Linked DNA regions of Neodiprion lecontei. The protein of the gene in region 2 interacts with the protein of the main gene of each other region in a pairwise test. Links are inferred from orthologs where the notes say so. Each region holds a gene or a part of one and is shown on either strand. Other genes may lie near its edges.

Region 1 (7,938 bases), on a different chromosome or scaffold from region 2:
ATCTGGAAGTAAATAATCAACTGATTAGGAAAGAGTCACATACCATAGCAGTCCAGTTAACGTATCGTAGAATCAAATTAAACACTGCAATGTATCTAGTGGTATAATCGTTGCATACGTATCAGATTTAGGTAAGCGTCAAGTCAACGAATGAATTTTTTTCTTTTTCCCCGTTTGACTTCGTCAACGTATCGACAGCACTAGTAATTACTTATACAGAACGGAGGTTGACGGTAATCTCAGTTTTACTGTTTAAACTAAAATATTCGGACTAATTTCTAAGAACTGTTTGTTCTACGATCGACCGGGCTATTATATTTGCATAGTGTATATAAGGACATTATATTTGCTAGCCGGTTAAGTCTCAGCGACGAACGTATTGTTGTCAAATCCGAGTATCCACCTATTTTTTCTCCTATTTTCATATCTAAGTATAGGTATGTATATTGTCAGCGACATAATGACGTACAACGCTATCCAAGTTCCACCGATTTTTATTTCTTTTTTCTTTTTTTTCTTCTTTTTTACTGGAAGGTGGAATATAAAATACGATGTTAATGGTATTTTAGAGAAAATCTTTGAGTTTCATGCGTGTAAACTAGTGACGAAGAAAAAAATGTATTCTACGTAAGCTGCATCGATTCAAATCTGCATATTGTATAAAGCCTTGGTAATATTTTAAAAAATTATACCAGATTGTAAAATATAGAACTTGTGATTCCCCATGAATTGGAAGCGAAAAAAAAAATGGCATTTTTCAAGACAAACTTGTGGCATATATCACGTGGTAAATGATATTACATTTACCAAATCTTTACTCATTGAGCATACTATTGTTTGACATATCAAATGAAAATAAAAATTGCAATTCATGATAATAAAGAAAGTCCTACTTCCGTTTGAATAATAAATCGCTTCAAAACATACACAAGCACTTCTTGTAAATTCGTTCCAATCTGTGACAAAAAGGATTCATTTAACTGAAAGTAAGACTGTATGAAAATTAATAATTCCCCGAACCATATGGACTATCTCTTCAAATATAAATTGACATGTTGACGATAGATTTTACTATGCAACTATCTTATATGTATGTCATTCGGCTCAATTGCAATTCTTACATTGTTTAGAAAAGAAAAAAAAAAAAGAAAATGATTTGACACACATTTATCGCCCTTTATTATGAATATGATTTAATTATTAATTTTTCGCGCAAAATTTTTTATGCATATTTCGTATTGAAATATACAATCTTTTTACAGGAACTATAAAATTTCTTTTCTCCATCACGATATTAATCTGCGTAGCTTACAATCGTGTTCAGATATACATATGTGAGTAAAAATAATTTTTATTTTTTTTGTCAGCTCTAATTTCCAGCAGATATTAGCAGAGTTTATTTTTATCATTTATTTCATCAACAGTCAACTGTTCTAATTGCCTATTAAATACATAGTTCGATGACTGATTTCCTAACGAGTAAGCTTTTTAATATTATAGATATAATATCTGAGACCGATTTATAAATGCGGTACATATTTCTTTGTAACTATAAAATAATACAAACACAGCTGGCGGTAATCGAGAGAAAAATCTTTGTTTTTATGAACTTTATTTTCACGAATTCAATCTTAAACATTAAGAGGCCGTGTTTAGATTAATTTTTTTTCTTTTTCTTTTTTCTTTTCAACAACAATCCGTCTGAATGGATCCCTAAATATTTTAAATACAACTTAATGCATAATTGATCTTAAGTAATAACTATATGCAGAAAAAGTGACGTAATATATCAAGTATTTTAAAAGAAACGTGTTCAGTTTGATATATCATTGTATAATGATAAGCAAATGTTAAAACGAATTAATGGAAGGAACGTGTATAGAGTTGGTAAAAAAAAAATTCGACAATCAAAGATCAGATTGCTAATATAGATTTAATGAGTGTATAGGTATAGCGTAATTTGGAATTCTGTCGAATACAATATTTGAATCTCTTTTTTTTCAAGAGAAATGATTTCCACTTCTATCGCTTTATCTAAAACAAAAACATTTTCGCTAACGATACCGTGAACTTTTGCGAAATTGATTGTTTCAAACTGAACAAGTTTTTTTCGTTTCACCTGATATGTATCATGTAGATAATTGTATATATATACAATAGATTTAAAACATACAAGAAGACATTCACACACTCATTTCAACATCAAAATGCAACATCTCCAAAGTTACATTGAATACGAGGAGAAGCCACTTGGCTGTTTAAATTTTTTCGTCTATTCTCTTTGTAACTCAAGTTACAAATACCTCATAAACAAGCTCGATTTGATGACTCAACCACCGTAGTGGTGCACTTTATTAGGACAGGTATATAGACCGAAAATTCCCAATTTCTCAGCAATATAATTTGGTTTCTCACTTTGCCTTTTGAGCTGTTATCCATTTATCCAAGAAAAAGCATAGTTGAAATAGACCTAATCGGTTTCATCCACCCGCCTCTAGAGTTTTCTTATATTGGAATTACTATCCAGATTAATGACACAAAATATTTTTGAAAATTTTTTTTGTAATACCTAACTGTGAGATTTAAACACGTAGTAAGACCTGGCCTAGCTTTGCGGAACTGTTCTAAGTATGTACCTAGTAATACATATGAATTTTCTCCGAACGTTGTAATTAACGTTTAATAATTGAAATCTTCCGACTAATAATGATTATTAGAATTTCAATAGTCAACACTGAAATATAGAAAAAATTTTCGGCTTCGCGTAGCTTTTACACATTAACAAAAATAATGTTAATCGTAACAACAAATGTCATCACTGTTAATGACGTCGAGACAATTAACGATTATTATTAAAGGATTTCGGGGCGGGGGGGGCAATGCAATGCTAAGCCATATTTTGTCATGGTGCTAACTAGAACCAGTAATTTACCGTACCCTAAGTTACATGCAACTTTCGAATGATCATCCAGGTTAACTATGTTTTCGCGAAATTCGAACAGACGAAAGATCAATATTTCAGTATTTTAGATATTTCAATTCTTCCTAACCGGAAATGGAAGGAATATACTTAAAGAAATCGACAAAATACGTGCTTTCGTAACGAACAAGAAAAAAAATTTAGCATTATTATACAAATTAAATTTATGCATAATATCAATTTTCTTTAACGAGAAAGTCCTATTTTACATTACTCAAGATTTATAATAAATACTCAATGAACGACCTCATGGCAACGCATGTTTGGTGCACCATTTGAAAATTGCGATAAATAACAATTTTAAATTACCTATTTTTTCTCTTTATTTACAGATTTGTTAAAGCTTTTATTGTAAACACCATATATTATCTGTTGCAAAACATGACTTCGCTATGCGATAATTTATGATTATGAATTATCTTCTCGCCGTTTGGATGGAGTAAGCAATTCAATATCGTCTAGTGGACGATCAATAAAAATAAGAAATAAAAGTTTTACGGAAAGTTAATACTCTGGACAACGTGTGTGCTGTATACGAGGACCACTTTTCATAGGATTCGTTGTCTCACAGACGTGGACAACTATACCAGGTTGACCAGATCCGCCTGGATGGAGTTCGTGGGTCGCACCTGAAACAAATACGTTGATAAATTCAAGCCAATATAAAACATTTTATGCTGAGTAAGGAACAATGATGCTTTTCATTGTAAAGCGTAAGTAAATCTGAGACCTGGTGATAGGTTGGCAATTGCTGCGAGTAAGTCATGGTTCACGAGCGGCTCGCCTTCTTCCCGAGGCTCCCAACCAACTGGCGGTGATGCCGGAGGTGAAATTAGGAACTGTTTAGTTGGTGCTGGCGGGTGGAGATGCTGATCTTCCATATCTAAAATCGAATCATTAATTCATTATTTGCAGAAGAGTTATCAGATTTTAGAAGTCCTAACAACTCAATTTCTGGTCAAAATAGAAGCTAAAGTAAAAATTAGTTACTAAGCAAAAGACTGAATTGACAACAACTTCATCAATAATATTGGATTTAATGATTTTTAAAATTTTTAAACACTCTTTATCCAATAATTACTTGTAAAATGAAGAAGTGGACAAAATGTTGTTTCATAAATAGGCAGAGAATGTTGCATAAATATTTCAGGCTAAGTGACAGAGCAGTTAAAAATATTCTGAGACTCAAGTTTTAGTCATTAAATTTGAAAAATAAACATGTTTTTTCTCTTTACTAAATGGTCTCTGTGTTAAATAAAACTTTTTTATTATGAACCTTGTGCATAACAAATATCGCTGCAGGTGAGAAGGCATAGAAAAAAAGTTGGAAAAAAGGTTAAATATTTGATGGCACAAGGAAAGTCTTTTCCAAATACAGAAGTGTTTTCTCGGAATTGAAAAACTTGATTTCTAAATTGGTCGATGTGCTTGGGATGCTTCCTTGCTACTTCAAAAACTTTATGCAAAGAAACTCATGAATACGTCAAGCAGGATTACTGCATACTCAATTGGTTTAGGTACTAAAAGCTGTAACGCTTCTAATTTTAACCTTGTTAGTAAATTGGTTTAAAAACTTTTTGAAGCTTGTACCAAAATGCATAACGTTTTCAAGCAAAATTTGTCAAATATTACTGAGCGATTGAAATTCTGGATAAATCACATAAATAAAAAATGAGTGGATAATATTAGGAACTGTGAACCTATTGGCGTGACAGGTTGAGCAAAGTAGCAGTTGATATCCGTCTCTCCATAACGTGTTTGGTGCAGCTGTATCCTGGCATGAGCAGCGGCGCTGGGCGAACTGTAGTTGACCCTCATTCGTCTAAAAGATCTGAAGTACTGAAAAGTGGCGTTTTCTCCGAACTGTTTGAATAGTGTTTCTATGCCACTCTGTGAATAAAAAAAACAGATTTAAGTTGAGAAAACTTGAGCGATAGATCCTTGGATTTTGAAGATTTTTATCAAAGAATAGTCACCATTATCTGAGGATCTTTGAAAACTCTGGGGTCTACATTGGTGACAATTACTGAAGTTGGGAGATCTTCGTCTCTGACTAATTCGTCTATCGTTCTCATGTTCGCGTCTCCGCGATCCTGGTCAGCTTCCAATTCTAGTTCAAGCTGTTGGTAATTGGGATGCAAGTTTGGCAGGCCGTCGACCTCGTTAATTATTATATTCTCCGTATTCTCCGAGGACCCATGCTCACTATCGAGGTTCGCCTCTCGTTTATCCTCCATTTTTACCCCCTGGAGTAGAACTGTGAATGAAGAAAAGCAATCGTGACAAAAGGGGATACACCTGTACAATGTGGTACAAAATTTTCTTACGGATTCCACGCCAGTTATTTTCCAAGTGGCAAAGATTACCACTGACACAGACGAGAGGCTAGTTAGCTTGAATTTTACAGTGGCATTTTATCTATAATCTTTCATATATATAAAAGAATTCAGGTCTTAACGACAAAATTTTCAACCAGGGAATTGAACGGATGGAGAGTAAATTGAAAGAAGCTAACTGGGAAATTTTGCCCTGAATTCACGGCGACGAAACGCGGTGATGACAGATGAAAACACATTCAATGATGATTACGAGTAGAATTATTGTTGTTGCATGCGGGCTGTTTTACGATTGTTTTCGAATTTTACGAGGCGAATTATCGGGGCGATAACATCGTCGTCAATTGATATCGATCAAGATTCAAAAAATTGTTGTTAATTATCATTGTGTACAAAGAATAGTCGGATATAATTTATTTCCCTGTAATTTACCTGTCTTCAGACGTTGTGTCCGCGTAACGAATGCAGTTTCAGTCCGACTTCTCTTCTCTTTCGAGAAGAAATCACACAACAATCTGTCAATTCGTCCGAGCGAACTGCCGACCGTCTGCTAATTAACACACTGCTCGTGTTTACACGGCTGTACGAACCTCCTATTCGATTATTTCAGGACGCTTTTGCCCTTTCAAATTTGTCAATGTATTTATATTATTTTTATTGTTGTTGAATCTAGACCGATCAGCGGTAGATTACCCATTGAGCCTACAGACACGAAGGTAGCATCCTAATGTCGTATGCCAGAGTCCAGGGTTACCAGATAAGTAGTACCACAAGCCGCCACAAGAAGCGCACAGGTAGCCAAATATGGCCAATCTCCCAGCCAAATAACCCGTAGTAACAAAGAATTTTGCTACCACGCGTCTCGAATCAAAGTATTAGGGGAGACGATGACTGGATTAATGATATCGGCCCCTTATAATCTTCTTTTTTTATGTCCAGGCTCTACCCATTTCAGAACGTTCCGAAATATCGCCTGTGCGCAAACACATTTCAAAATACGCTCATTCATCCTTATCCCTATGCATATTACCGACGTACATGTTTTGTTTTTTTTTAGCTTGCAGGGTGAAAAAAGATAAGAGATCTGAAGTGTTGGCATTACGGTGCGTTCCGAACTGGCTGGCAGCGCTAAAAACTTCCTAGGACAGGGCAGAGCCTGGCAGAGCTACTCACAAACTCGGCAGCGCAGTGACCAGAAGTTGTCTGTCTTGCAGTTTTGAATCTAACGCCGGGGGCGAAAAAATTCAGTCATTTCAACTACGCCATATTTACTTTAAAATCATGTCCAATTTCATGTTCAGATATTTATATTGAGTATGTACTGACTTAAGTGATTCACATGGCGATTTTCCGTGACTAGGAAGATAATTGTGAGTGTAAATGTTCATTAATTTGATGTCCAAAATCAACTGAAAAAAATAATCTCACGATAGCCGTTGTCCGATTTTATCAACGTAAGATGGAAGTTTTATTCGAGACTTACTCAGGTTCTAAATATATTGTACAGAACAAAGATCCGAATAACATCATGGAATTTTGAAAGAAAGTTGGTAATAGCTAAAGCGCATTCAATTGGCATTCGTTATCAATTCTTTGTCAACGCCTTACTTCGTGGTCGATGTATTTTGGCGGGATTCGCGAGTTATGCAGCAAAGTTCGGGTCGTTCGGGTACAAACAACTGACAATCGGTAGAAAATTTTTCTTCTCATCTCCAGTTTAACGGACGGGTCTTGGGGTGCCGTTATCGTAAGATTGTTTTTTCTCGTTATTGAAGTGAAAGAAATATGAAAAGTAGGCGAGAATATTCTGTTTTAGATTCGAAATTTGTCGCGTGCAGTGATTTGGGTCGCAGAGATATAAATATAGCAGTCAACTGGCACCGCGAAGTCGCTTAGGCTACGAAAAATTCACACCGTCAATTTTTCTTCGTTGCGAGTTAAACTCAGGTAACATTCGAAATTATTTACGCAAGTCCGAATCCTCTGTACTCGATCTTCTAATCAAAATGTAGTCACGTTGAATCTTAGCAAGTGCAGTGCGTATTTTAGAGAACGAGTTTATTATATTTGCCGGGTGAAAAATTATCGTGGGCTCTCCATCGGTGATATTCTTTGTCGCGTGATGCAGTCATCGATTCGATTGCCATTTCAGTGATAATTCCGAGTGCAATACAAAATTTGGTGAGTGTTCTCCACAGGAATATAAAATTTATTCAGTGTTCTGCGGAGGAATATTTAATTCACGCCCGAAAGGATACACTTGAGACGGTGAGGCTGGACCGATTTTCAAGATGTAGCGTCGGTGAGTCGCATGAATTTAAAATCACTGATTATTTCCAACTGTCCACTATTTGAAAATTTTCAGTTGTACGATGACAAAAGTATTCGAAACTTACATTTGTAATTTAGTTACTAATGTCAAAGCGGCAATAGAAAAAGTTTTTAAGCGTTTCAAATGTTGGCCAAATTCAATTTGGCAACTTTTTAACTTGAGCTGGTGATTAATTTTATTGAAAAATTAACGGCTCGTTGATTTGAAATAATTTTATGGTGAACTATTCAACCGAAAAGCAAATGTCCCGATCGGTGCGTAATAAGATGATTTGAATATGTACACTATTT
Region 2 (4,781 bases):
TCTTTTGGAAGATCCCGATAAACCTCAACGCATTCTTGCGTAGTCTTCGCGTTTCGAGTTAATATCCTGTACCACCTGCTGCGTACAGTATAACGAGCTATCATTCCGGATGACACGGACAGGCATATATGCATTTTTTTTCTATTACATATTTCGGGTGATTTGAATTAATTATTCTCGTGTGTTGACAGACGTTCGACGGTAAACCGGAATTATCCAGCGATCGATTAGGTGAGTGCAATTATTGATTACTTTATTTTTACGTGCGGAAAGTGAGAGGATGAGATACGAACGAGTAATAAAAAGGGGTGACAATGATGGCTGGCCAATTGTCAGCTAATTAGTTACAATAGGGTATAAATATAGCAGCCTTGTATAAATTTTGTTGGTGCTAAATTTTTTCGTGTCTTTCGGTGAGGCGTGGCGATGGACGATGGCGACCGAAGTGCGGTTTTCAAGCTTCTTTCGTCAATTTGGCCTTTTGACGCATTACGTTAAACGTCGCGGCCGCCGGCCGGTCGAATTGAACAATATGTCTTGAAAATATGCTCGTCCGTTATACCTGTGTATGTACCGTTGCACGCTATTGACTCTTGTAATTATTCTTATTTTCAAAAGCCTACTCCTTGTAAACGACGTTATAGAATTGTGCAATAATAAATTTTTTCCTGATGTTCCGTTACGTTAACGTTGCTAACCTTAGCCTCATTAAGGATAGCTAAGCTAAAATTACAATACAACTTAGAATTGAAAACTGGTCGAGTACCGTTGGCATTAAACAGGTTTTTGAGTGATAAATGACTACCCGAGTCTTGGATTAAATGCCCATAGTCGAAAAATAACATCGCACACAGTTTTTAATAATGTAACATGCAAGAGGCGGCGAATAGTTGTTGGAATATTGCGATCGCATCGTTGGGACTAATTTCGCGTGTGAGAAGTGTTTAAAAAGTATTCAATTATTCACCAACAGGTTAATTTAATATCACTTATTGTATTAAACCTGATAAGAATAAGTGAAAAAAAAAAGTTTTCAAATTATTTAAAACAAGATGAGTTTAACGAGTTCCACAGTTGGTAAAAATAAAACCCTATTTGTATAACAGCTGTGCTGCAACGAAATATTTTCAAACAATTACGATATGATGGGGAAAAAAAGTGCAAATGAAAATTGAAGATCCGGCGAAGATAAGAATAATCATTTGCGTATAAAACTTCAGAGCGAAGACACGGTGGTTCCGCAATCGGTATAATCACTTCTGGAGCTCGGGTAAAATATCCTTTTCATTAAAATCACACGTACGTTTTGATCGAGGTCAGTATTCTCATCGCTTGATTGAGATTACTTTTCCACGTAGCCATTAGGAAATTGAGATATCAGCTGATGAGGAATCGACCGACGTTCCAGTTTGACAGGTAAATTGCGATGATGCGGCGTTGGCGATTTTCAGATCGGAAAGAGAGCATTTCGTTGATCGGTAAAGACAGAGTCGGTTCCTCGTTGAGATTGTTCGCCAGAATCTCCTCGCGAACCATCGATAAACGTAACAATGAAAAATTGTAAAATTTTAGCGATGAGTGTTGCATAACATCAACGAGAGGTGGCGACAAACTGAGAGAGAGATCCTACTTCGACGGCAGAGGGGAAAAGAATGAAAGAGCCGAGATTTCGAGGGTAACGTGTGGAACCGGGCTAAGGAATGAAATTTGACAGACGAAAGGGAGCGACGTCGTCGACTTGCGTCCGGTGTCGGGGAAAAGGAGGGTGGACGAGCGAAATGGTGGGTGGGAGGGAGGGAGGGATACGAGGGGCGAGGATGACAGAGGGACCTGTAACCCCGAGGGCGAAGGGATCTGCGGCGAATTGGGAGCAGCGTTTAAAGATAAACAATCTACTCATCCACCCGCACGGAGAGCGAGCGAACGAGTAAAAAGTTGGAAGCAAACTGGCGGAGGGTAGGTCGATAGCAATGGCGCCGGCGAGTGGCCAGAAAATCAATCCGTCGCTCTCTCTAGGAGACGGCTCTCTGTGTTTTCGCTTACCCTGCGGACGGTGTTTTCCTTGGCTTTTCCGCGCCCCGTTTTCCGGGGCTGGGGCAAGGGAAGAGGGGGGGGGGGGGGGGGGGGATTAAAAATCGGTAGGTGGTTATTAGGGAGCTCGGGATGCGGGGAGAGTGTAAAAATTTGACCCAATTGGCAAAATGTAGCCTTATCAAACTCTCGGGAAACTTACTTTTAATCACGCGTTCCGTCGTCGACAGCTTCTGGGAATTATTTGACGACATCCTGGCTCGCGGTCGCGGGGGATCGCGCGACACTCACGATCGGTCGGTTGAGATACCGCTGATTTACAATTCTTTTTATTCTTTTCGGTTTCTACGACGATTCCGTGACGATCGCCTCGCCGTGGTTTTTTGTCTCCTCCTTTTTCTCCTTCCTCTTCTTCCTTTTTCCGTTTTCCTTTGGTGGGGGTGGAGGGGAGGGAGGGGAGGGGGAAGTGGGTACGGAATACAATAATAATTACACGTCACACATCAGAGGGCATGAATTATCTCTTCTTCGCGACAATCGACGCGCACCCACGCACTTGTAACAGACGTAATTTTTTTTCGTAAAAATAAATATGCGTTATACTCCGCCAAAGGGATAGCGTACGGATTATCCTTTATTATCGGTTGTCGCTGGTTTATCTATTCGTTTGTTGTGTTTGTTTTATCCTTATTGTTTTTTCGTGGTATGTCGTTTTCTTTTTTTGTTTCTTTTTTTTTTTTCTCTCCTCAGTTTTATTTCACCGTCGTTCCCGTCTCGTTTTTATTTTCTTATTTATTATAATACAATCGCCACGGCCGACACGGACACGGACACGACACACTACACGGCGCGGTAACCAGCAAGCGCGGTGCTAAAATTCTACTACAAGATGTCTGTCTCGGTCACGGCACGCACTGTCGTTCCGCGGCCAAACTACGGCGCAACTTTAGGGCGCAGCTCGGAGGCGCACCGATTATTCGAGGACGAGAGGTTCGCCTATATTCTCTCGTCGACTCGGCTCTTCTCGCCGGCACCAAATACGCAGCTGCGGTTCTCCACCCTGACCAATCGGCATTCCGACGCTTGGCGGCATCTCGCGTCTCAACCACCCACGAACAATATCGCGGAACGACCTCTGGACGACGCTGGCGCAATTCGCCGCCTTTCATTTTCATTTTCAAACGTTGTTAAAGACCTCCGCTGCACTCCTGCCGCAGCCGCCGCGGTCGATAACGGCTATCAACCTTCGGATGCACGTTACATATCTACGACAAGTTCGAGCAACGAAAGCTGGAAACTCGATGTAATCGGGGAATGGTAACCGTCGTTTGAACACTACCTTCGATCGGTGTTGGAATACAAAAACACTTTTTATTTAATGCGAAGAGAACAAGTTACATAGGATTTCTGTCTTGTGAATTCATTTCAAAAAATCACGCCAGGTGGTGTAAGATTGATCTTACATCGTGAATTAATGATAATTACACCGCGCAGAAGCGTTCGATCAGTCCTGTTGCTTGGCGTCCAAGAATTCTTGTATGCAGCATTCGGTTGGCCGAGTATCGAGCCATTTCTTTATGTTGGGAATCGCGTTGATCTTGTTCGCATGCTCTGTCAGAGCAGCGTGATTCTTCAGAGTGTCGAATCCAATGACAAAGTCGAGGTATGGCTTCAGCGAAACGAACCACAGGTCGGCCCAAGTCAGCTGAGTGAAATTCGGGAACATTGAAATCAGCTCAAATGTACAGGCAAAGTTGCGATCCGAATTTTGTCATACCTTTCCACCGACGAAGTAGCCGCCATTTGCTTTCACCCGATCTTCAAACCTGTTCAAATAGAATGGAAGTTTTTCCTGCACAAGCTGTTCCTTCCTTTTGGATTTCGCGGTCTTGTTCGCCTCCCACAAGTACTGACTGAACACTAAAAAAGCAGAATTTTTCCAATCAAATATCAAAATGAATTTTACCGAGTTCCCGTTACCAAGATTCCATGCGTGAAGTTGACGTCGATCGTTGTCTTACCACTTCTGTAATCGTTGATCGTGTCTACCATGGAGTCGATTTCCAAATCTTCCAGTTTGTTACTACCGGTCAAGTTGAACTCTTTGGCCAAGTATCTGCCGATCGCCAAGCTCTGGTTGTAAACCTTCCCGTCGATTTCCAATAACGGCAACACTCCGTAGGGTGTCTCTTATTCATGCGGATACAAGAAAGTAAAGGAATGAATAAATTAGAGGGAACGGGATACGAAGCTCGGTGGAAAACCGGCAAGCGTGTCCCATGAATTTTCAAGAAAACAATCTTACCGCGTTGGAACTTCGGCCAAGTCGTAATATCGTGTCTCACATCTTCAAAATCCTGATCTGCATAGCTGAATAGATATCGCGCAAGTTCAGCTATTCCCGTCGTCTTGAAATAGATCAGTTTGTACTGGGGCATTTTTGTATTCTTATCAGATGTAAGATTAAAGTACCGTAGGTAACGAAATTTTCGTATCACCAAACGCACGAGCCCTGCACACACCCAACCCTCGACTCTGTTGATTCGGAACAAACTGAACTTGGGTCCTATCCTCAAAGCTGACGATGAGTCGTAACGAACCAGTCGCGAAGACTACGCACCCGACTGGCAGCCAATGGGGAGCCTCTTTAGATCCTTGATGAGACGTTTGAGGAAAGTCGGGAGGTTACTATGCTGCTAACAACGCGGCCCATCGTAAAACTGTGTGTCCTTTGTGCGACTCGGCTGTGT

The links. The genes of interacting proteins can lie anywhere in the genome.
Region 1: the proteins of serine/threonine-protein phosphatase 2B catalytic subunit 2 (region 2) and protein sarah interact in binary tests that used the Caenorhabditis elegans proteins (3 or more experiments, as listed by UniProt). The link is inferred for Neodiprion lecontei from reciprocal best matches to the Caenorhabditis elegans genes tax-6 and rcan-1.

The regions. Positions count from the first base shown.
Region 1 is NC_060266.1:20,099,905-20,107,842, reverse strand, and holds the start of protein sarah, read right to left. Parts: upstream 6,020-7,938; 5' UTR 5,749-6,019; intron 5,238-5,748; 5' UTR 5,218-5,237; coding exon 4,957-5,217; intron 4,871-4,956; coding exon 4,681-4,870; intron 3,864-4,680; coding exon 3,711-3,863; intron 3,610-3,710; coding exon 3,485-3,609; 3' UTR 1-3,484. UniProt on the Caenorhabditis elegans protein: Inhibits tax-6/calcineurin A phosphatase activity and thereby negatively regulates calcineurin-mediated functions.
Region 2 is NC_060260.1:6,043,316-6,048,096, forward strand, and holds the start of serine/threonine-protein phosphatase 2B catalytic subunit 2, read right to left. Parts: upstream 3,029-4,781; 5' UTR 2,286-3,028; coding exon of another isoform or gene 2,234-2,285; intron 1,319-2,233; exon of another isoform or gene 1,304-1,318; intron 1-1,303. Other genes in the region: glutathione S-transferase-like, read right to left, coding at 3,536-3,736, 3,809-3,951, 4,053-4,220, 4,337-4,469. UniProt on the Caenorhabditis elegans protein: Calcium-dependent, calmodulin-stimulated protein phosphatase. Dephosphorylates arrd-17. Dephosphorylates daf-16 at 'Ser-319' which regulates daf-16 nuclear translocation. Dephosphorylates calcium permeable cation channel pkd-2 at 'Ser-534'.